Linked DNA regions of Anolis sagrei. The protein of the gene in region 2 purifies or fractionates together with the protein of the main gene of each other region. This does not show direct contact. Links are inferred from orthologs where the notes say so. Each region holds a gene or a part of one and is shown on either strand. Other genes may lie near its edges. The genes, in order: BAG4, DCP1B and EDC4.

What was found.
Region 1: the proteins of DCP1B (region 2) and BAG4 purify together in Homo sapiens (affinity purification with mass spectrometry; 3 studies listed by BioGRID and IntAct, counting the BioPlex papers as one, with this or other methods). This does not show direct contact. The link is inferred for Anolis sagrei from reciprocal best matches to the Homo sapiens genes DCP1B and BAG4.
Region 3: the proteins of DCP1B (region 2) and EDC4 purify together in Homo sapiens (affinity purification with mass spectrometry; 3 studies listed by BioGRID and IntAct, with this or other methods). This does not show direct contact. The link is inferred for Anolis sagrei from reciprocal best matches to the Homo sapiens genes DCP1B and EDC4.

Annotation. Positions count from the first base shown.
Region 1 is NC_090027.1:10,444,675-10,451,648, forward strand, and holds the start of BAG4 (BAG family molecular chaperone regulator 4), read right to left. Parts: upstream 3,035-6,974; 5' UTR 2,984-3,034; coding exon 2,834-2,983; intron 1-2,833. UniProt on the Homo sapiens protein: Inhibits the chaperone activity of HSP70/HSC70 by promoting substrate release. Prevents constitutive TNFRSF1A signaling. Negative regulator of PRKN translocation to damaged mitochondria.
Region 2 is NC_090025.1:190,160,957-190,169,054, reverse strand, and holds the start of DCP1B (mRNA-decapping enzyme 1B), read right to left. Parts: upstream 3,095-8,098; 5' UTR 3,081-3,094; coding exon 2,863-3,080; intron 1-2,862. UniProt on the Homo sapiens protein: May play a role in the degradation of mRNAs, both in normal mRNA turnover and in nonsense-mediated mRNA decay. May remove the 7-methyl guanine cap structure from mRNA molecules, yielding a 5'-phosphorylated mRNA fragment and 7m-GDP.
Region 3 is NC_090028.1:44,202,815-44,210,051, forward strand, and holds the start of EDC4 (enhancer of mRNA-decapping protein 4), read left to right. Parts: upstream 1-4,180; 5' UTR 4,181-4,299; coding exon 4,300-4,375; intron 4,376-7,237. UniProt on the Homo sapiens protein: In the process of mRNA degradation, seems to play a role in mRNA decapping. Component of a complex containing DCP2 and DCP1A which functions in decapping of ARE-containing mRNAs. Promotes complex formation between DCP1A and DCP2.

The DNA.
Region 1 (6,974 bases), on a different chromosome or scaffold from region 2:
TCTTCAGGAAGAGCTTGAAAATTTGGCTGTTCCAGTGTGCCTTCACTGAATGAATGAACAATAATCCCCTGACCTGACCAATTTTTGCAAAATCCCCTCGGAAGCACCTTATTTTTCCTGTTAGTGCAATCCACTCTACCTTACCCTGGATTCCCTGTCCAGATACATTACACTCCTGTCACACACAGTGTTTTGAATTTTTGATCTATTAGAATTGGCCCTGCCCACAATGTTTGTTCTGTGTTTAATGGTTGCGATTTTATATTGTCAACGTGCTAGTTACTATGGTTTTGTATTGTATTTTTTATCTTTATTTCTTCCATTTAATTGCTATGTTTTATTATTGACGTATTGTATTGCTGGGCTTGGCCTTATGTAAACCGCCCCGAGTCCCCTTGGGGTGATAGTGGCAGGGTATAAATAAAGTTGTTGTTATTATTATTATTATTTTTATTATTATTATTATTATTATTATTATTATTATGTGTGACCGCATTTCTGTGTACGAACCTACACGATCTCTTCGATCATCTGGAGAGGCCCTGCTCGTGCTCCCACCTCCTTCGCAAGCGCAATTGGTGGGAATGAGGGAGAGGGCCTTCTCGATGGTGGCCCCCCAACTCTGGAACTCACATCCCAAGGACATTACGCAAGCCCCAACTCTGGCAGTCTTTAAGAGGAGCCTGAAAACATGGTTGTTCCAGTGTGCCTTCCCAGAATAAGGAAAACTCTCTGCAATACGCCCTCAAAATGCACTTTTGATTTAGGACTGACTGCGTTCCCACGTCTCTTTTTGAAAACCCTATACCAGTTATATCCTACCTTGTTCATGCCGAGCATTATTTTTTAAATGTTACATTATTACATTTGGCCCGGCTATTGGTTTTTAAATGCTTGTGTTACTGTTAATTGTTTTATTTGTTTATTATTTATATTAATTGTATTATAATGATTGTTTTTGTTATTGCTCTTGTTTATTGATGTATTGTGGGCTCGGCCTCATGTAAGCTGAACTGAGTCCCTTGGGGAGATGGTAGCGGGAAATAAAAAAAGTATTATTATTATTATTATTATTGTCGAAGGCTTTCATGGCCGGAATCACTGGGTTGTTGTAGGTTTTTTCGAGCTATATGGCCATATTCTAGATGCATTTATCTATTACATTTGGCCCGGCCTCAGTTTTTAATGTGTCGTGGTGTTGCTTATTGTTATTGTTTTAATGTTTATTGCTTTGCTTTATGAGTTCATTTATTGTTGTATTTGTTATGCTGTTGTTTTATTGATGTGTTGGATCTTGGCCTCTTGTAAGCCGCACCGAGTCCTTCGGGAGATGGTAGCGGGGTATAAATAAAGTTAAATAAAATAAAAACCATTTAGAAGAAAAAAGTGAGAAAGAAGAGAGAGAGAAAAAAACCACAACAATGTATTGTCGAAGGCTTTCATGGCCAAAATCACTGGGTTGTTGTAGGTTTTTTCGGGCTATATGGCTATGGCCTAGAGGCATTTTCTCCTGACGTTTCGCCTGCATCTATAGCATGCATTCTCAGAGGTAGTGAGGTCCGTTGGAACTAGAAAAAAGGGTTTATATATTTGTGGAATGACCAGGGTGGGACAAAGGACTCTTGTCTGCTGGAGCTAGGTGCAAATGTTTCAACTGACCACCTTGATTAGCATTTGATTAGCGACTAAAATGATCAAGGGTCTGGAGAACAAGCCCTATGAGGAGCGGCTTAAGGAGCTGGGCATGTTTAGCCTGAAGAAGATAAGGCTGAGAGGAGACATGACAGCCATGTATAAATATGTGAGAGGAAGCCACAGGGAGGAGGGAGCAAGCTTGTTTTCTGCTGCCCTGGAGACTAGGACGCAATGGAACAATGGCTTCAAACTACAAGAGAGGAGATTCCATCTGAACATAAGGAAGAACTTCCTGACTGTGAGAGCCGTTCAGCAGTGGAACTCTCTGCCCCGGAGTGTGGTGGAGGCTCCTTCTTGTCAGGATAATTGCAGTTATTTTATGTATGTTTTTCAATGTGTTAATAATGGATTCAGTTATGTTCAGCTGTGTGCTAGAATTGTAGTCACTAGAGGCAGTGAGAGTAAAGTCCTTGAGACTGAGATAACAGTCCTGAGAACAAAAGGGAGTCAACCAGCTAGAAGACAGATAAGGCGAAGGGCAGGATGTTTCTTTGTCTGTGTGTTTAGTCCTGTACTTTGTCAGTCACCATCTTTCCTCATCAATATGTAGTCGCCTGTAAATAGATGCTTCCAGTAAAGCTTATTATTTTTGAAACCGAAGAAGAATGCTGTGTGGTAATTGAGTCTGTGTGTTTTGGAAACCTCAAGTTCGCTGTGCCAGACCGGAGGGTCTCACTCTGACACTTCTTTGGAAGCTTTGAAACAGAGGCTGGATGGCCATCTGTCAGGGGTGCTTTGAATGCAATATTCCTGCTTCTTGGCAGAATGGGGTTGGACTTGATGGCCCATGAGGTCTCTTCCAACTCTTTATTTTATGATTGCCTGGCAGTGCCTGGAGCAATCTTTTGTTGTCTATTATTATTATTTCACCTCCACTTTAGGAACTAACTTCCTGACCTGGAGCGTGGTGGAGGTTTGTAAGCAGAGGCTGAGTGGCCACCTGCAAGGAGGGCTTGTTTGGTGCTTTTCCTGCCATGCAGGATAACGGGGTTGGTCTGGCTGGCCCCTGAGGTCTCTTCCAACGCGAGGATGCAAGCGTGCGGCCTAGCGCATGCGCACTTGGCAGCCCCCAACCCTGGCAGACCAAAAGGAGGGTCAGAAAGTGCCCGGATGCCACCCAGTCAGGAAAGGCCGTTACCTGGGCGCCACCCCGAGCCGTCCTCTCGCCGCCATGCTGCGGGCACCTGCGGGCATCTCCTCCCCACGGGGGCGGCGGTGGGGGCTCTGGCTCAGGCCGGACACGCTCCACGTCGGGCCCGTGAAACAGTCTCCTCAGAGCGGCCGCCATTCGAAGCGATTACTCCTCACCCCTCTTGAGAAGAAGCAACTGCGCCTGCGCGGGCTGAGCGCGGCCTTAGCCAATCACAGTCGTCGCCCCGCCCACTCCTCCCCCCGCGCGCACGATCTCTCTCTCTCGCCATGTTTGACCTTTTGCGGCATTCCCGGATGTTGAGGACTCAGTGCTGGCTCGGAACGGTGACGTCATCTGGATAGGGCCCAATCAGATGAGCTTGAGGTATTGTCGAAGGCAATTGAGCTTGACCCAATAGCAAAGTTGGAGTCACCCTTAAAGAGCTCTCTTTAAACCTGGAATGTGTCCCAAATACATCATTTCTTTTCCAGGAGAGGTTTCATTGAGTCACTATCACAATGTCACCAACTCTGGAGTCCTTGTGGACAGCCAACAATGTGATGTGGCGGCAAAAAAAGCCAATGGGATTTTGGCCTGCATCAAGAGGAACATAGTGTCTAGATCTAGGGAAGTCATGCTCCCCATGCTCTATTCTGCTTTGGTTAGACCACACCTGGAATATTGTGTCCAATTCTGGGCACCACAATTCAAGAGAGATATTGACAAGCTGGAATGTGTCCAGAGGAGGGCGACTAAAATGATCAAGGGTCTGGAGAACAAGCCCTATGAGGAGCGGCTTAAGGAGCTGGGCATGTTTAGCTTGAAGAAGAGAAGGCTGAGAGGAGATATGATAGCCATGTATAAATATGTGAGAGGAAGCCACAGGGAGGAGGGAGCAAGCTTGTTCTCTGCTTCCCTGGAGACTAGGACGTGGAACAATGGCTTCAAACTACAAGAAAGGAGATTTCATCTGAACATGATTCAACCTGATGTCATCGAGGGCAGTGGAGACCCCCACCTTCAAGTTGGTCTGACCCGCAGCGGAGAGTTCCGCAGTTCCTGGAAGCCCAAATTGGAACAAACTGAAGAAATGTGCCCCAACAGACAGCTCAAACAGGGACTGTACCAAGCCTCTGTGCCTTTCTATCACTTTTCCCCAAGCCCTAACATTGTAACTATTCCCCTAATAAAGATACTTGAAATTGCAACTTTTTAACTTTCTAGCTTGATACTTTGTGTCACTTCTTGCCTGAACTAACTAAATGCATGAATTCAACCTTTTCCAGGCCGCGGGGGACTGCGAGCCTGCCCGGAATGCCTTCCTGGCGTTCCGGGGACGCCGAATCCACGCCGCTTGAAACCGCGGATACGGAGTTTTTCCTTTCAGATCTCCATATCCACAAAATGGCGGATCGGCTCCATTTTAATGTCTTATTTTTCTGCACTAAATTCTAAGCTTGTCTGCCATCTCACTTTTCTTATTTTGGACCCCTACGCTCAGGAAATAACCTCTCAAGTTTTGAGAATATATTTTATTAGAAACAGCTGATTGCCAAATATGCTGGTTCCATGGCTGCTGCTTCATCGCTCCTCGCTGCCTCTCGCCTCTGCCAAGCTCTGGACCCGGGGACTTGATGCGGTTCCCCCATGGGACTTCAGGGAAGAGCCTGGCCAAGGTGCCCTGGACCTTGGGAAGAGATTCTAGTTTTCCAAGGACCAAAGTGTGAAATCATTGCAGCACAGCTGGAGTTCCATCTGCCAGCCTTTGCAAAGATCGAGGACTTTCTGTTGCCTGTTTAGAACTTCAGAATCCATGTTGGAGAATGGAGAATACGGTGGTCAATCAACCTAGGCAACTCCATCCTGCACATTTTCGAGAGCAACCCCTATAGATTTTGCCGACAATACAACTTAGACTCTAATACAGACATTTTAAATGCCATAATAAGTAGCACGTCAGCAATATAAAACCCTAAAGACTGCCAGAGTTGGGGCACCTTGGTATCCCTACGGATGTCCTCAAACACTCTCTGCTTCATTCAGAAAAATGCTGCACTTGCAAAGCTCAGGCGGTGTTGAATTACAGTGTCAATGTGGACTTTTGTGGAGAGAGGGCTGCCAAGGTAGCGGAAATTGTCTACTTTTTCTAATGTTACACCATTAAGCTGTATTTCTGGCATTGGAGAGGGGTTGGCCGGTGACTGCTGGAAGAGGACTTTGGTTTTCTCGATGTTCAGTGACAGGCTGAGTTTCTCATATGCTTCTGCAAAGGTGTTTAGAGTGACTTGTAGGTCCCCTCAATGGACTGTCACCTTGTCGTGGTGAGGGGGCTTGCGTGTTCCAATGAACCTGTGGGCACAACGACTGGAATCGTGCACTCCCAGGAGTGGCCGCAGGGGAGGTTCCAGACCAAGCACAGTCCGAAGACTCAAAGACCTCAACGGCGGAGCAGGCAGAGGATAACATGGTACATGTTACAACGGCTGTGAAGGCGGAAGAAGGCTGCAACAGATTGAGAAGCCACGGTTATTGTGTCAAACTACATCACCAGTGGAACCTCACTCTGTGAAGACTGTGTGTCGATCAGTTGTGCACTGACCTCCACACATTAAAAAAAACCCACGCACAGGCGTCTTCCAAAGAAAATGAAAAAACAAACCAACTGGACAGGAAAAGAAATTTAAAGATGGGCTCAAAGCCAACCTTAAAAACTCTGGCATAGACACTGAGAACTGGGAAGCCCTGGCCCTTGACTGCTTCAGCTGGAGGTCAGCTGTGACCAGCAGTGCTGCAGAATTCGAGGAGGCACGAGTGGAGGGCGAAAGAGAGAAACGTGCCAGGAGGAAGGCGCGTCAAGCCAACCCTGACCAGGACCGCCTTCCACCTGGAAACCAATGCCTTCACTGTGGGAGAAGATGCGGGTCAAGAATAGGGCTCCACAGCCACCTACGAATCCACAAAAATAGTCATCAAGGAAGACCATCTTACTCGTCCAATGAGGGATTGCTTAAGTAAGTAAGACATCAGAAGAGCTGCAAGACCAAGAACAAGCCACGAGAGTAAAGATGAAGATCCACCCAGAGGAAAAGTGTTCCTGCCATACATCAAGGGAACCACTGACCGCATAGGGAAGCTGATGAGGAAACACAACATACAAACTATCTACAAACCCACCAAGAAAATCCAACAAATGCTACGTTCAGCAAAGGACAAGAGGGATCCTCTCACCTCTGCAGGAGTCTACCGTGTACCATGCAGCTGTGGACAAGTCTACATAGGGACCACCAAACGCAGCAGCATTGCCCAGACACGCATCAAGGAACATGAAAGGCACTGCAAACTACTCCAACCAGAGAAATCAGCCATAGCAGAGCACCTGATGAACCAGCCTGGACACAGCATATTATTTGAGAACACAGAAATGCTGGACCACTCTCACAACCACCATGTCAGACTACACAGAGAAGCCATTGAAATCCACAAGCATGTGGACAGTTTCAACATAAAGGAAGAAACCATGAAAATGAACAAAATCTGGCTACCAGTATTAAAAAACTCTAAAATTACAACAGCAAAACAGCAGTGAGGAAACAACCAGGCACATCTAAACACCTCTCAACAAAAGATTTTCCCAGGCTCAGCCAGGCCTTCAAATGCTAATGAAGATGGTTGGTTGAAACATTCACACCTAGCTCCAGCAGAGAAGAGCTCTTTGCCCCAGCCATTCAACAGATATAAAAACCCATTGTCCTAATTCCAACAGACCTCACTACCTCTGAGGATGCTTGCCATAGATGCAGGCGAAACATCAGGAGAAATGCCTCTAGAACAGTGTTTCTCAACCTGGGGGTCGGGACCCCTGGAGGGGTCACAAGGGGGTGTCAGAGGGGTCACCAAAGAACACCAGAAAACACAGTATTTTCTGTTGGTCATGGAGGTTTTGTGTGGGAAGTTTGGCCCAATTCAATCATTGGTAGTGTTCAGAATGCTCCTTGATTGTGGGTGAACTATAAATCCCAGAAACCACAATTCCCAAATGTCAAGGTCTATTTTCCCCAAACTCCACCAGTGTTTACATTTGGGCTTATTGAGAAATTGTGCCAAGTTTGGTCCAGATCCATAATTGTTTTGAGTCCACAGTGCTCTC
Region 2 (8,098 bases):
TAAGCCTAGCATGACTTCTTTTTGAGAAATTCATACTAATTTTTAGTGATCACAGCATTCCTTTCTAAGTGATTGCAGACTGTCTCCTTAACAATGTGCTCCAGAATTTTTCCTGGTATTGATGTCAGACTGACTGGACAGTAATTGTTTGGGTCCTCTTCCCCCAAATATTTGCCCTTCTCCAATCCAGACTTCTCCTGTTCTCCAAGAATTGTCAAAAATTATTGCCAGTGGTTCTGAAATCACTTCTGCTAGTTCCTTCAATACTCTTAGATCTAGTTCATTTGGCCCTGGAGACTTGAATTCATTCAGTGATTCCCAACCTTTGGACCTCCAGGTATTTTGGACTTCAGCTTCCACATTTTCTAACACAGGGGTCCTCAAACTAAGGCCTAGGGGCCGGATACGGCCCTCCAAGGTCATTTACCCAGCCCTTGCTCAGGGTCAACCTAAGTCTGAAATGACTTGAAGGCACACAGCAACAATAACAATTATATCTCATCAGCCAAAAGCAGGCTCACACTTCCCACTGAAATACTAATGAGTTTATATTTGTTTAAATTGTTCTTCATTTTAATTATTGTATTGTTTTTAAATGGTTTTTTTTTTTTGCACTACAAATAAGATATGTGCAGTGTGCATTGGAATTCATTCATGTTTTTTTCAAATTATAATCCGGCCCTCCAACAGTTTAAAATGTTTGAGGACCCCTGCTCTAACAACTGGTAAGCTGGCTAGAATTTCAGGGAGTTGAAGTCCAAAACACCTGAAGGCCCAAAGGTTGGGAACCACTAAAACCAGATCTTCCTGGTGATCTAGTTTAGAATTGCACTGCAATTCTTTTTAGCTGCCACATTACACCATTGACTCATTCTCTGCTTGTGGTCTAAGTCATGCCTCGCTACTATGGAACCCTGGGAGTTGAAGTTTGGTGAGGTACCAGCACTTTTTGGACACAAAAGATTAAAGACCCTGTAAAACTACAACCCCCAATCTAAAGATGAAAGTGGGGTATAAAAAAACAGCATATCCCAAGATTCCTTAGCACTGAGCTAAGAACGAGAAAGCGGGCCTTCTCAGTGGCTGCCCCTCAACTCTGGAACTCTCTGCCCAAGGAAGCCAGAACGGCCTCTTCCCTGTCCTTCAGACAGCAGGTTACCTTTTTATTCAGGCAGGCTTTGAAATAAAGTTTTTAAGATCAACTTATATGCTAATTAAGGGTGTCAATTGAAACATTCACGCCTAGCTCGAGCAGACAAGAATCCTTTGTCCCACCCTAGTCATTCCACAGATATATAAACCCTTTTTCCTAGTTCCAACAGACCTCACTACCTCTGAGGATGCTTGCTATAGATGCAGGCGAAACGTCAGGAGAGAGTGCCTCTAGACCATGGCCATATAGCCCGAAAAAACCTACAACAACCCAGATCTCATGTTTTTCTTAAAGGAGCAGGCTTTTTCCCACTGCCCTTGAAACTAAGACTCATTGGAGCCATAGGTTCAAATGACAGGAGAAAATATTGAACATTAGGAAGGACTTCCTGATTGTAAGAGCTGTTCAACGGGGGAACTCTCTGCCCCGGAGAGTGGTGGAGGCTCCTTCTTTAGAAGCTTTTAAACAGAGGTTGGATGGTAGAGCAGTACGTGTGAAAAAGATCTTGGAGTCCTCCTGGACAACAAGTTAAACATGAGCCAACAATGTGATGTGGCAGCAAAAAAAGCCAATGGGATTTTGGCCTGCATCAAGAGGAGCCTAGTGTCTAGATCTAAGGAAGTCATGCTCCCCATGCTCTATTCTGCTTTGGTTAGACCACACCTGGAATATTGCGTCCAATTCTGGGCACCACAATTCAAGAGAGAAATTGACAAGCTGGAATGTGTCCAGAGGAGGGCGACTAAAATGATCAAGGGTCTGGAGAACAAGCCCTATGAGGAGCGGCTTAAGGAGCTGGGCATGTTTAGAAGAGAAAGCTGAGAGGGGATATGATAGCCATGTATAAATATGTGAGAGGAAGCCACGGGGAGGAGGGAGCAAGCTTGTTTTCTGCTTCCCTGGAGACTAGGACACGGAACAATGTCTTCAAACTACAAGAGAGGAGATTCCATCTGAACATGAGGAAGAACTTCCTGACTGTGAGAGCCGTTCAGCAGTGGGACTCTCTGCCCTGGAGTGTGGTGGAAGCTCCTTCTTTGGAAGCTTTTAAACAGAAGTTGGATGGCCATCTGTCAGGGGTGATTTGAATGCAATATTCCTGCTTCTTGGCAGGGGGTTGGACTGGATGGCTCATGAGGTCTCTTCCAACTCTTTGATTCTATAATTCTAAGAGCTGTTCAAGAGGGGAACTCTCTGCTTCGGAGTGTGGTACAAGCACCTTCCTTGGAAGCTTTTAAACAGAGGCTGGATGGCCATCTGTCAGGGGTGATTTGAATGCAATATTCCTGCTTCTTGGCAGAATGGGGTTGGACTGGATGGCCCATGAGGTCTCTTCCAACTCTAGGATTCTAGGTACAAGCTCCTTCCTTGGAATCTTTTAAACAGAGGCTGGGTGGCCATCTGTCAGGGCTGCTTAGATGGGGCTTCTCCTGCATGGCTGAATGGGGTTGGTGTAGATCAGGCATGGGCAAACTTAGGCCCTCCAAGTGTTTTGGACTACAACTCCCACAATTCCTAACAGCCGGTAGGCTGCTAGGAATTGTGGGAGTTGTAGTCCAAAACACTTGGAGGGCCCAAGTTTGGTCTAGATGGCTGACGTGTTCTCTATGGTTGTATGACTCTAGTTAAAGGGGCCGCGGCCCCTTTTGGGCTTCTCCTCCCTCAATGGCGGCCTTCTCTCTCTGTCTCTCTCCCTGGGGTTCACTCACCCACTCGTTGGCGCGGTGGCCGAAGGTGTAGAGCGCCACCTGGCTGGCCACGTCCACGATGCTGCTGATGTAAGGGTCGTGCCGCTGCAGAGCCGCCAGGCTGATGTCCAGCCCCTTCCCCAGCGGGGCGGCTCCGGACAGCGCCGCAGCCACCGACGACGCGCCCGCCGCCGCCATCTTGCTTCCCTGAGCAACACAACACCCGAGGCGCCAGGCATGCCAGCCGAACGCCGAGACATCGATCGATCATCGGCCTCTGTTGACGCTGCCGAAGAAGCAAAAGCAAGGGGACCAGCCTCAAACAATCGAGCGCCGAAACGGAAAAGCTGGAGATGGTTGCTCCTGGCAACGCAGCTCAGCTCACTCCAGGCTTCACTGCAACTAGCACAGGCCTAAAATCAATAATAATAATAATAATAATAATAATAATAATAATAATATCACCAAGACATAGAATCATAGAATCAAAGAGTAGGAAGAGACCTCATGGGCCATCCAGTCCAACCCCATTCTGCCAAGAAGCAGGAATGTTGCATTCAAATCACCCCTGACAGATGGCCATCCACCCTCTGCTTAAAAGCCTCCAAAGAAGGAGCCTCCACCACACTCCGGGGCAGAGAGTTCCACTGCTGAACAGCTCTCACAGTCAGGAAGTTCTTCCTCATGTTCAGGTGGAATCTCCTCTCTTGTAGTTTGAAGCCATTGTTCCCTTGCGTCCTAGTCTCCAGGGAAGCAGAAAACAAGCTTGCTCCCTCCTCCCTGTGGCTTCCTCTCACATATTTATACATAGCTATCATATCTCCTCTCATCCTTCTCTTCTTCAGGCTAAACATGCCCAGCTTCTTAAGCCGCTCCTCATAGGGCTTGTTCTCCAGACCCTTGATCATATTATATACATTTAATAGATATATACATACATTTAAGGGCCTTCTCAGTGGTGGCCCCTCGGCTATGGAATGCCTTACCGGTAGACATCAGACAAGCACCTTCGTTGCTGGCGTTTCGGAGAAAGGTCAAGACCTGGCTTTATGAACAAGCGTTTGGTTAAACAGTGCAACCGATCATAGGAAGACGGTAAATGGAATATAGGATTGGCACAAGGATTATGAGAACGGATCTGATTTCACTGAGGCGCTATGTTTTGTTTTGTTTTGTTTGTTGATTTGTTAATTGTTGTGGATTGATGTTGTTGATCCTGTTGTTACATTTGTTGCATTTTAATTGCACTGACATTGTTGTGATAATTTGTACCATGTAAACCGCATTGAGTCGCCTGTTTGGGCTGAAAAATGCGGTATAGAAATAAAGCAAATAAATAAATAAATAAATTTAATATAATAATATATTAAATATGATATAAATATAATGTATTAAATATAATAATATATTTAATATATATATACATTTAATAGATATTTAATAGATATATACATCCCTCTATAGATCTATTAAATGTCTATTTAACATACTAGATCTATTATATATCATATATTCTTGGGTATTAATATATATATATATATATATATATATATATATCCCAAGATATATTAAATACATCTATCTATATTTATCTCTCTATATATGTTATCTATTTAATTACTGCTTACTGCTCTTACTTCTTACTCTTACTGCCTATTACAGGGAAAACCAGCTGATCCCCAACCCATCTAAAACACAGACATGTGCCTTTCATCTCAAGAACAGAGAAGCATCCCGAGCTCTGAAGATCACCTGGGAAGGAATCCCACTGGAGCATTGCAGCACACCCAAATACCTGGGAGTCACTCTGGACCGTGCTCTGACCTACAAGAAGCACTGCCTGAACATCAAGCAAAAAGTGGGTGCTAGAAAAAATATCATACGAAAGCTGATTGGCACAACCTGGGGATCACAACCAGATACAGTGAAGATATCTGCCCTTGCGCTGTGCTACTCTGCTGCTGAGTATGCATGCCCAGTGTGGAACACATCTCAACACGCTAAAACAGTAGATGTGGCTCTTAATGAGACATGCCGCATTATCACAGGATGTCTGCGCCCTACACCACTGGAGAAATTACACTGCTTAGCCGGTATTGCACCACCTGACATCTGCCGGGAAGTAGCAGCCAATAGAGAAAGGACCAAGGCAGAGACATCTCCAGCTCATCCCCTGTTTGGGTATCAGCCAGCACGTCAACGACTCAAATCTAGAAATAGTTTTCTAAGATCTACAGAGACACTTGCTGGAACACCTCAGCAAGCAAGAGTCCAAAAGTGGCAGGCTCAAACCCAACACCTCAACCAATGGCTGATACCAAATGAGAGAGTCCCTCCTGGGCACACAGAGGACTGGGTGACTTGGAAGGCATTGAACAGACTGCGCTCTGGCACCACGAGATGCAGAGCCAACCTTCAGAAATGGGGCTACAAAGTAGAATCCTTGACATGCGAGTGTGGAGAAGAGCAAACCACTGACCACCTGCTGCAATGTAACCTGAGCCCAGCCACATGCATCATGGAGGACCTTCTTGCGGCAACACCAGAGGCACTCCAAGTGGCCAGATACTGGTCAAAGGACATTTAACCAACCACCAAACTCACAAGTTTTGTATTTTGTCTGTTTGTTTGCTTTGTTGTGTTAGAAATGTAATATAATGGACTGGCTGCTCTGACACGACAAATAAATACATCTATTTAATATCCTACAACTCTGCTATGGGAGTTGTAGTTCAGAGAGGCCCCAGTGTGGGCACAGAACGCAGGCGCTGTGACTACACTACCCACAATACAGCGCGAAGGAAGGCAATGGGAATCTCGCCTTATCTAAGCGTGGCGAGTGATAAGAGCTCTGGACTACGCCTCCCAGGATGCTCCGCGGCAGAGGGCGGTGGGAGGGGGCGTGTGGAGGAGGAGGCAGGAGGCAGCTTGGCCGCTCTCGGCAGCCAGAGGAGGGAAGAGGACAATGGGAGGTGAATAGGTAAGGAAAGACCCAGTGGGGATCCCCGCCCTGATGGAATGGTCTCTTCCAAGGCCGAAGAGACGGGTGGAGGGGAGGGAAAGCCCATTGCAGGGGAAAGGGGTGGCCTGAGGGATCCCTAGAGCCTTGTGTCCTGTCTGCCTATCTAAAATATACCCCTAGGGGTATTGAATAGATCCATCCCTCTATATATCTATTAAATATCTATTTAATATCCGATATCCCTAGAGATATTAAATAGAGATATCTATAATATCCCTGGGGAATATTGAGATTTATATCACAAGAGATATTAAATAGATATCTCTATATATCTCTCTCTATATATTATCTATTTAATATCATATATTTCTATCTATCTATATATATATATAGCGTATGATATATATTCCTAGAGCATTAATATATATCCCAAGATATATTAAGTAGATCTATCTATATTTATCTATATATTATTTATTTAATATTATACATTTCTATAACATATATATATATATATTTCCCTAAAGCATATCTATTACATATCATATATTCCTAGAGCATCAATATATATATCCCAAAATATATTAAATAGATATATCTATACTTATCTTTCTCTATATTATCTATTTAATATATATTTCTATAGCATATATATCATATTTCCCTAGATCTATTATCTATTATATATTCCTAGAGCATCAATATATATATATCCCAAGATATATTAAATAGAGATATCTATATTTGTCTCTCTATATATTATCTATTTAGTATCATATATTTCTATAGCATATATATCATATTTCCCTAGAGCATATATATTATATATCTTATATTCTTAGAGCATTAATATATATCCCAAGAAATATAATATATTTCTTTAGGATAGAAATAGAGCATTAATATATATCCCAAGGGATATCATATCTTTCTATATTGCATATATATATATATATAATATTTACCTAGAGAATAGCTATTATATATCTTATATTCCTAGAGCATTAATATATATCCCAAGAGATATCAAACAGATCTATCTACATTTATCTCTCTATAGATTGTCTATTTAATATTTATTTCTATAGTATATTTTAAATATTTCTATAGCATATATGTCATATATTCCTAGATCATATACATTATATATCATATATTCCTAGAGCATCAATAGGTATCCCAAGAGTTATTAAATAGATCTGTCCTTCTATCTATCTATTTATCTCTTTATTACCTACTTAATATAAAATATTCCTAGAGCATATTGATCTAATATCATATATTCCTAGAGATATAAAATAGATCTATCTATGTGTATGTATTTATTTTCTAATTAATATCATATATCTTTATAGATAGATCTATTTAATATCGTATATCCCTGGAGCATTGATATATATAAGATACTAAATAGATTATCTATATTTCTCTCTATATATTATCTATTAAATATATATTTCTAAAGCATATATATCGTATATTCCGAGAGCATATCTATTATATATTCCTAGAGCATCAATATATTCCCAAAACATATTAAATGGGTCTATATCTTGATTTTTCTATCGCTTTATTACCTATTTAATATCATATATTCCTAGAAATGTTAAGTAGATCTATCTATGTTTATGTATTTATTTTCTACTTCATCTCATATATCCCTAGAGCTTAGTGTTTTATTTGTATCTCTATTCAGTGTATTATATCCTTAGGGTAACTAGATCTCTTTATATTTGATATCATATTTCCCTAGAGCATTAATATGATATATCCCAACATATGAAGTAGATCGGTCTATATCTATTTAACGTCGTAGATCCTTAGAGCATTAATATCATATATTCTATTTATTTATCATGTGAGAAGTGAATTGAGGGTATTTAAAAACACAAATGAAGTTAAAAACTTATATTCTGAGAGATATTAAATAGTTCTGTTTCTTATTATTATCTATTTACTATCATTCCTGGAGGAATCTTTTGTTGGGAAGGCAGGAATCAGCCAGTCTTTGAAGCTGCAAGGCTATTCAGTGCTAATCAAGGTGGACAACATTCACACTTGCCTCAAGCAGACAAGAGTTTATATATCACTTGACAGATATATAAACCTCCCTTGCCTAGTTCCCAACAGACCTCACAGCCTCTGAGGATGCCTGCCATAGATGTGGGTGAAACGTCAGGAGAGAATGATTCTGGAACATGGCCAGGCAGCCCGGAAAACTGACAGCAACCCAGTTCCTTTTCTCTGCTAAGATTAGTAATAAAAGTAGATCTCATAGATAATACAGACCCCAAG
Region 3 (7,237 bases), on a different chromosome or scaffold from region 2:
CTAGCAAAGTTTTTGTTTGGAAGCATGTCCTCTGAACAGCACCAGATACATGCAGCTGTGATTCAACAGTAAATGTGAAGATTCTTCATGGAAAAATAAGACATTCCCTGAAAATAAGATCTAGTAGAGATTTTGCTAAATATAGGGCCTCCCCCGAAAGTAAGACCTAGCAAAGTTTTTGTTTGGAAGCATGTCCTCTGAACAACACCAGAGCATGCAGCTGTGATTCATCAGTAAATGTGAAGATTCTTCATGGAAAAGTAAGACATTCCCTGAAAATAAGATCTAGTAGAGATTTTGCTAAATATAGGGCCTCCCCCGAAAGTAAGACCTAGCAACGTTTTTGTTTGAAAGCATGTCCTCTGAACAACACCAGAGCATGCAGCTGTGATTCAACAGTAAATGTGAAGATTCTTCATGGAAAAATAAGACATTCCCTGAAAATAAGATCTAGTAGAGATTTTGCTAAATATAATTCCTCCCCCGAAAGTAAGACCTAGCAAAGTTTTTGTTTGGAAGCATGTCCTCTGAACAACACCAGATACATGCAGCTGTGATTCAACAGTAAATGTGAAGATTCTTCATGGAAAAATAAGACATCCCCTGAAAATAAGATCTAGTAGAGATTTTGCTAAATATAGGGCCTCCCCCGAAAGTAAGACCTAGCAAAGTTTTTGTTTGGAAGCACGTCCTCCGAACAACACCAGAGCATGCAGCTGTGATTCAACAATAAATGTGAATATCCTTCATGGAAAAATAAGGCATTCCCTGAAAATAAGACCTAGCAGATCTTTGGGAGGAAAAATTAATATAAGACACTTATTTTGGGGAAAACAGGCTATATATTCTTTGCACTGATGCTTCTGCGTCCTTATATTTTCATGGTGGTGTTTCCTCACTCAGGGAAGATGCACGTGACTGCTACTTTTCCCAGCAGGGAAGCATCTCTGAACAACTATGGCTGGATTTACATTGCCATATAATGCAGTTTGAATCTGTACAGTATGGTCAGTGGAGACCTATGTAACGCAGGTGAACTGCATTGTATGGGTCTACACCAGGCATGGGCCAACTTCGGCCTTCCAGGTGTTTTGGACTTCAACTCCCACAATTCCTAACAGCCGGTAGGCTGTTAGGAATTGTGGGAGTTGAAGTCCAAAACACCTGGAAGGCCGAAGTTGGCCCATGCCTAGTCTACATTGCCCATATAATTCAGATTCAGTATAGATTCAGCTTATGGCCCTGCTTGTCAGTGGTGTTGCAGACCAGTTTTGGAAAGTTGTTTGGCAATGAGGCTTAATATGTGTGTAGACTTCCTTTGAGATAGTCCCAATGTTTGTGGGATTTATTTTCAACCTTGTTAAGATTGACAGCATTTTGGTCTTCGAAGCAAGTGACAGAAAGAAGAGGTTTTTCTCCCTGCAAACTCACTATTAGGACTATTAGGACCCAGGTGTCTTTGGTGCAAACCTCAAATGACTTCGCCTTGTTTGAATGTTGGAGGAAGGAAGGCAGTCCATCTTTCTGTGTTTTGAACTTATTGTATTGGCCTTAATAAGAGCAGCGTGTTCAACAGCCATATAGACACAGAATGCCTTACAAAAGGTGAATTTCACAGGGAACACGTTTTGTTTCAAAGGGGCCCTGGCTCATTCTTTTTGATGGAACAGCTCAGGGGAGAGCTTGTCCTGCTCACGTGACCTTCAGCCTCTGAATAACGGCATGCGCTATATGGTCTTCAGAATAATTTTCCTACTTTTTTGAGTGCTGGGAGCGACTTGAGAAACTGCAAATTGTTTCTGGTGTGAGAGAATTAGCCATCTGCAAGGACGTTGCCCTGGGGACGCTCAGATGTTTTACCATCCTGTGGGAAGCTTCTCTCATGTCCCCACATAAGAAGCTAACAGATGGGAGCTCACCCCGCTCCCCGGATTTGAACCGTCCCGTCTCTAATCTTCCATTCTTAGGTAAGGTGATAGAGCGGCCTGTATTGTGACAATTGCAGCAATTTGTGGATGACACAGCCGGCTTGGACCCTTTCCACTCAGGTTTTTGCCCGGGCGGAGATGGTCCTGGTTGCCATTACGGATGAACTTCGTCGCCAGTCTGATAACAGCGGATCAGCGCTTCTGGTACTTCTCGATCTTACCGCAGCGTTTGACACCGTTGACTACGATTTAATGATCCACCGTCTCGCCATGTCCAGAATTCGCGGTCTTCGAAAGTTCCCCCTCCTATGCGGGGTCCCCCAAGGTGCCATTGTCTCCCCTCTTCTCTTCAACATCTCCGTGAGACCCCTTGCCAGTTTGGCTCAGAGATTCGGCCTGGACTGCTCTCAATATGCGGATGACACCCAACTCCTTTTGCGCTTGGAGCCTGGAGTAACGTCAATACCTGACAATGTCACCTTCTGCCTGGAGGCTTTCCGGGGAGAGGTGGATGAGCTCCCTCTACCTGCTCCAGCTCCTCATGCGGGGACATGAGAGGAGCCTCCCACAAGGATGGTAAAAGATCAAGACATCCTAGCATTGTCCCCTGGGCAACGTCCTTGCAGACGGCCAATTCTCTCACCAGAAGCGACTTGCAGTTTCTCAAGTCGCTCCTGACACGACAAAAAAAAAAAAAAAAAAAAAAAAGCCCCCCACCCTTTGTGTTTGATTCTTATTATGTTATTTTGCACTGTCTATTTTATTATGTTATTTTATGTATTTTGCTGTGATGTAATTTTTCTGTTGTTTTGTGCCTAATTATGCTGTAATATTCCAGGGCTTGGCCTCACGTTAGCCGCCCCGAGTCCCCTATGGTTATAAACAAAGATTATTGTTGTTGTTGTTGTTCTCTCCCTTGGGAAAAAAAATCTGGCTACGAAAACCCCATGGTGGGGTTGCTGTAAAATTAGCCCTGGCTTGGAGCATCTTCCCAGAGCCAATGATGGGTGTAAGGCCCCTTCTACACTGCCAGATAATCCAGATCATCCACATTATCAGTTCTGAACTGGACACTGCCAGATAATCCAATTCAAAGCAGATAACCACCTGGATTTTCAAGGAACATGGAAGGCACTGCAGGGTAATTCAGCCAGAGAAGTCAGCCATAGCAGAGCACCTGAGGAACACACCTGGACCCAGCAGATTATTATTGGAGAACCCAGAAATGCTGGACCACTCTCACAACCACCACGTCAGGCTACACAGAGAAGCCTTTGAAATCCACAAGAAGCATGTGGACAATGTATTGTCAAAGGCTTTCATGGCCGGAATCACTGGGTTGTTGTGGTTTTTTTCAGGCAATAGGGCCATGTTCTAGAGGCATTCTCTCCTGACGTTTCGCCTGTATCTATGGCAAGCATCCTCAGAGGGAGTGAGGTCTGTTGGAACTAGGAAAATGGGTTGATATATCTGTGGAATAATGACCAGGGTGAGACAAAGGACTCTTGTCTGTTGGAGCTAGGGGTGACATGAAAGGAGGAAACAATGAAAATGAACACAATCTGGCTACCAGTATTAAAAAAACTCTAAAATTAAAACAGCAGAACAGCAGAGGGAAAACAATCAGGACGTCTAATCACCTCTCAACAAAAGATTCCCCCAGGCACTGCCAGGCCATCAAATGCTAATCAAGGTGGTCAGTTGAAACATTCACCCCTAGCTCCAACATACAAGAGTCCTTTGTCCCACCCTGGTCATTATTCCACAGATATATAAACCCTTTTTTTCCTATTTCCAACAGACCTCACGACCTCTGAGGATCTAATCACCTCTGAACAAAAGATTGCCCCAGGCACTGCTAACCAAGGTGGTCAGTTGAAACATTCACACCTAGCTCCAGCAGACAAGAGTTCTTTCTCCCACCCTGGTCATTCCACTTTCCTACTTCCACCAGACCTCACTCCCTCTGAGGACGCTTGCCACAGATGCAGGCGAAACGTCAGGAGAGAATGCCTCTAGACCAGGGGTCCTTAAACTAAGTCCCGGGGCCGGATGAAGACCTCCAAGGTCATTTACCCGGCCCTGGGTCTGGGATCTGGGCTGGGACCAGATCCTGGGATACAGAGCCATGTATTCCCAAAAAATATCCCGGTCTCTCTCCAACCTTCCGGGGAGGATTCCTGCGCCAAGCGCCTGTTTGGAAGCGGAACTCAATGCGCGGGGCTGCTGTTGGCGGGGGGAAGGAGCGGGAAGCACGGACCGGAAGCGGAAGTGGGCTGCGCGTCGGGGTTTGGCCTACCTGAGTCGGCGCGAGCGGCAGAGGCGGAGGCGGCGTGTGTTGCGGAGGAGGGCGGCCGGGCGAGGGGTCTCCATGGCCTCGGCCAGCATCGACATCGAGGATGCCACGCAGCACCTGCGGGACATCCTCAAGCTGGACCGGCCCGCAGGTGAGGAGGCCCAGGCCGGCGGGAAGGAGGGACAACGCCAGGCCCCGGCTTCGCGGCCTAGCCTGGAGGAGGGCGCCCCGGCCGGAGAGGGAGCCCCAGCGCCCCTGAGAAGGGCCTGGGCTGCAGGAGGAGGAGGAAGCCCCGCTCCAGTGTCAGGCCCTTTGGGAAGCTGGGCCCCTGCTGCCATTTTCAGCGCCCATTATTATTATTATTATTATTATTATTGGGTTGTTGTAGGTTTTTTCGGGCTATATGGCCATGTTCTAGAGGCATTCTCTCCTGACGTTTCGCCTGCATCCATGGCAAGCCTCCTCAGGTAGTGAGGTCTGTTGGAACTAGGACAATGGGTTTATATATCAAGAATGATGCCCAGGGTGGGACAAAGAACTCGTGTCTGTTGGAGCTAGGTGGGAATGTTTCAACTGACCACCTTCATTAGCATTTAATGGCTCGACAGTGCCTGGAGCAATCTTTTGTTGAGAGGTGATTATATGGAGAGGGAGCCCAAGCGCCTCTGACAAGGGCCTGGGCTGGAGGAGGAGGAAGCCCCGCTCTAGTGTCAGGCCCTTTGGGAAGCTGGGCCTCTGCTGCCATTTTCACCACCCATTATTATTATTATTATTATTATTATTGGGTTGTTGTAGGTTTTTTTGGGCTATATGGCCATGGTCTGTAGGCATTCTCTCCTGACGTTTTGCCTGCATCTATGGCAAGCATCCTCAGAGGTCGTGAGGTCTGTTGGAACTAGGGAAAAGGGTTTATATATCTGTGGAATAATGACCAGGGTGGGACAAAGGACTCTTGTCTGCTGGAGCTAGGTGGGAATGTTTCAACTGACCACCTTCATTAGCATTTAATGGCTTGACAGTGCCTGGAGCAATCTTTTGTTGAGAGGTGATTATATGGAGAGGGAGCCCAAGCGCCTCTGAGAAGGGCCTGGGCTGGAGGAGGAGGATGAGTCGTGCTTTTAGGCTGCCCGTTGAAGCCAAGTACCGAGCTCTGAGCGGCTGGGAGGAAGCCCCGCTCCAGTGTCAAGTCCTCTCCTGCTGCCTTTTTCTGCCCACAGATAGTCAGCACCCATTATTATTATTATTATTATTATTATTATTATTATTAGGTTGTTGTAGGTCTTTTTGGGCTATATGGCCATGGCCTAGAGGCATTATAGCCCGAAAAAACCTACAACAACCTAGTGATTCCGGCCATGAAAGCCTTCAACAATACATGATTATTATTAAGTTTTTTCCTCTCCCCCGCCTTTCTCCCCATAGGGACTCAAGCTGGCCAACAACCCCACAATCTGTTGTCGAAGGCTTTCCTGGCTGGAATCACTGGGTTGCTGTGAGGTTTCCTTGCTGTCTGGCCATGTTCCAGAAGCATTCTCTCCTGACATTTCACCTGCATCTATGGCAGGCATCCTCAGAGGTTGGGAGGTCTGTTGGAACTAGGAAAATTGGGTTTATATATCTGTGTTAAGTCCCAGGTGGGAGAAAGAACTCTTGTCTTTTGGAGGCAAGAGTGAATGTTGCAATTGGGTTGTTGTGAGGACCTCACTACCTCTGAGGATGCTTGCCATAGATGCAGGTGAAACGTCAGGAGAAAATGCCTCTATAACATGGCCATATAGCCCGAAAAAACTTACAACAACCCAGTGATTCCAGCCATGAAAGCCTTCAACAATACAATGTTGCAATTAATCACCTTGATTAGCATTTGATGGCCTGGCAGGTTTTTGGCTACTCTAAAATTATTATAGCAAAACAACACCAACACACACGGTAACTCCAGAGAGGAAACAATCAGGGACAGCTAATCACCTCTCAACAAAAGATTCCCCCAGACACGAACAAGCCACACCAAAAAAACTGCCAGGCCATCAAATGCTAATCAAGGTGATTAATTGCAACATTCACCCTTGCCTCCAACAGACAAGAGTTCTTTCTCCCACCTTGGACATCATTCCACAGATATATAAACCCAATTTTCCTAGTTCCAACAGACCTCACAACCGCTGAGGATGCCTGCCAGAGATGCAGGCAAAACGTCAGGAGAGAATTCCTCTAGACCAGGGGTCCTTAAACTAAGGCCCAGGGGCCGGATACGCCTCTCCAAGGTCATTTACCTGGCCCTCACTCAGGGTCAGCCTAAATCTGAAATGACATGAAAGCACACAACAATAACAAGCCTATCTCATCAGCCAAAAGCAGGCCCACCCTTCCTCTTGAAATACTAATAAGGTTATGTTTGTTAAAATTGTTCTTCATTTTAATTATTGTATTGTTGTAATATGTTTTTTGCACTACAGATAAGATATGTGCAGTGTGCATAGGAATTCATTCATGTTTTTTCCAAATTATAACCTGTCCCTCCAACAGTTAGAGGGACTGCGACCTGGCCCTCTGTTTAAAAAGTTTGAGGACCCCTGCTCTAGAACACGGCCAGTTAGTCTGAAAAAAAACCTACAACAACTCAACCCCACAATCTAATACCAATCCCATTGAAAACAACTCACATGTTAAAAATAAATATTACAGCGTAGCTATAGAGTTAAAATACAATTCAATATTAGTGCGTGGATAATAGACTTTAAATACAATACATGCAGTTCAATATTAGTCAGTAGGCACAGAGTCTAAATACAATGACCTTTTAAAGATTAGGAGCCTACTAGTACGTGTAAGATCTTCTGGTGAGGCCCTGATCTCGGTTCCACCTTCTTCACGAGTGCAACTGATGGAGATGAGAGACAGGGCCTTCTCAGGGGTGGCTCCTCAACTGTGAAACTCTCTCTCCAGCAACACCATTATTTATTTATTATTTATTTACCGTATTTATATCCCGCCTTTCGCAGCCCGAAGGCGA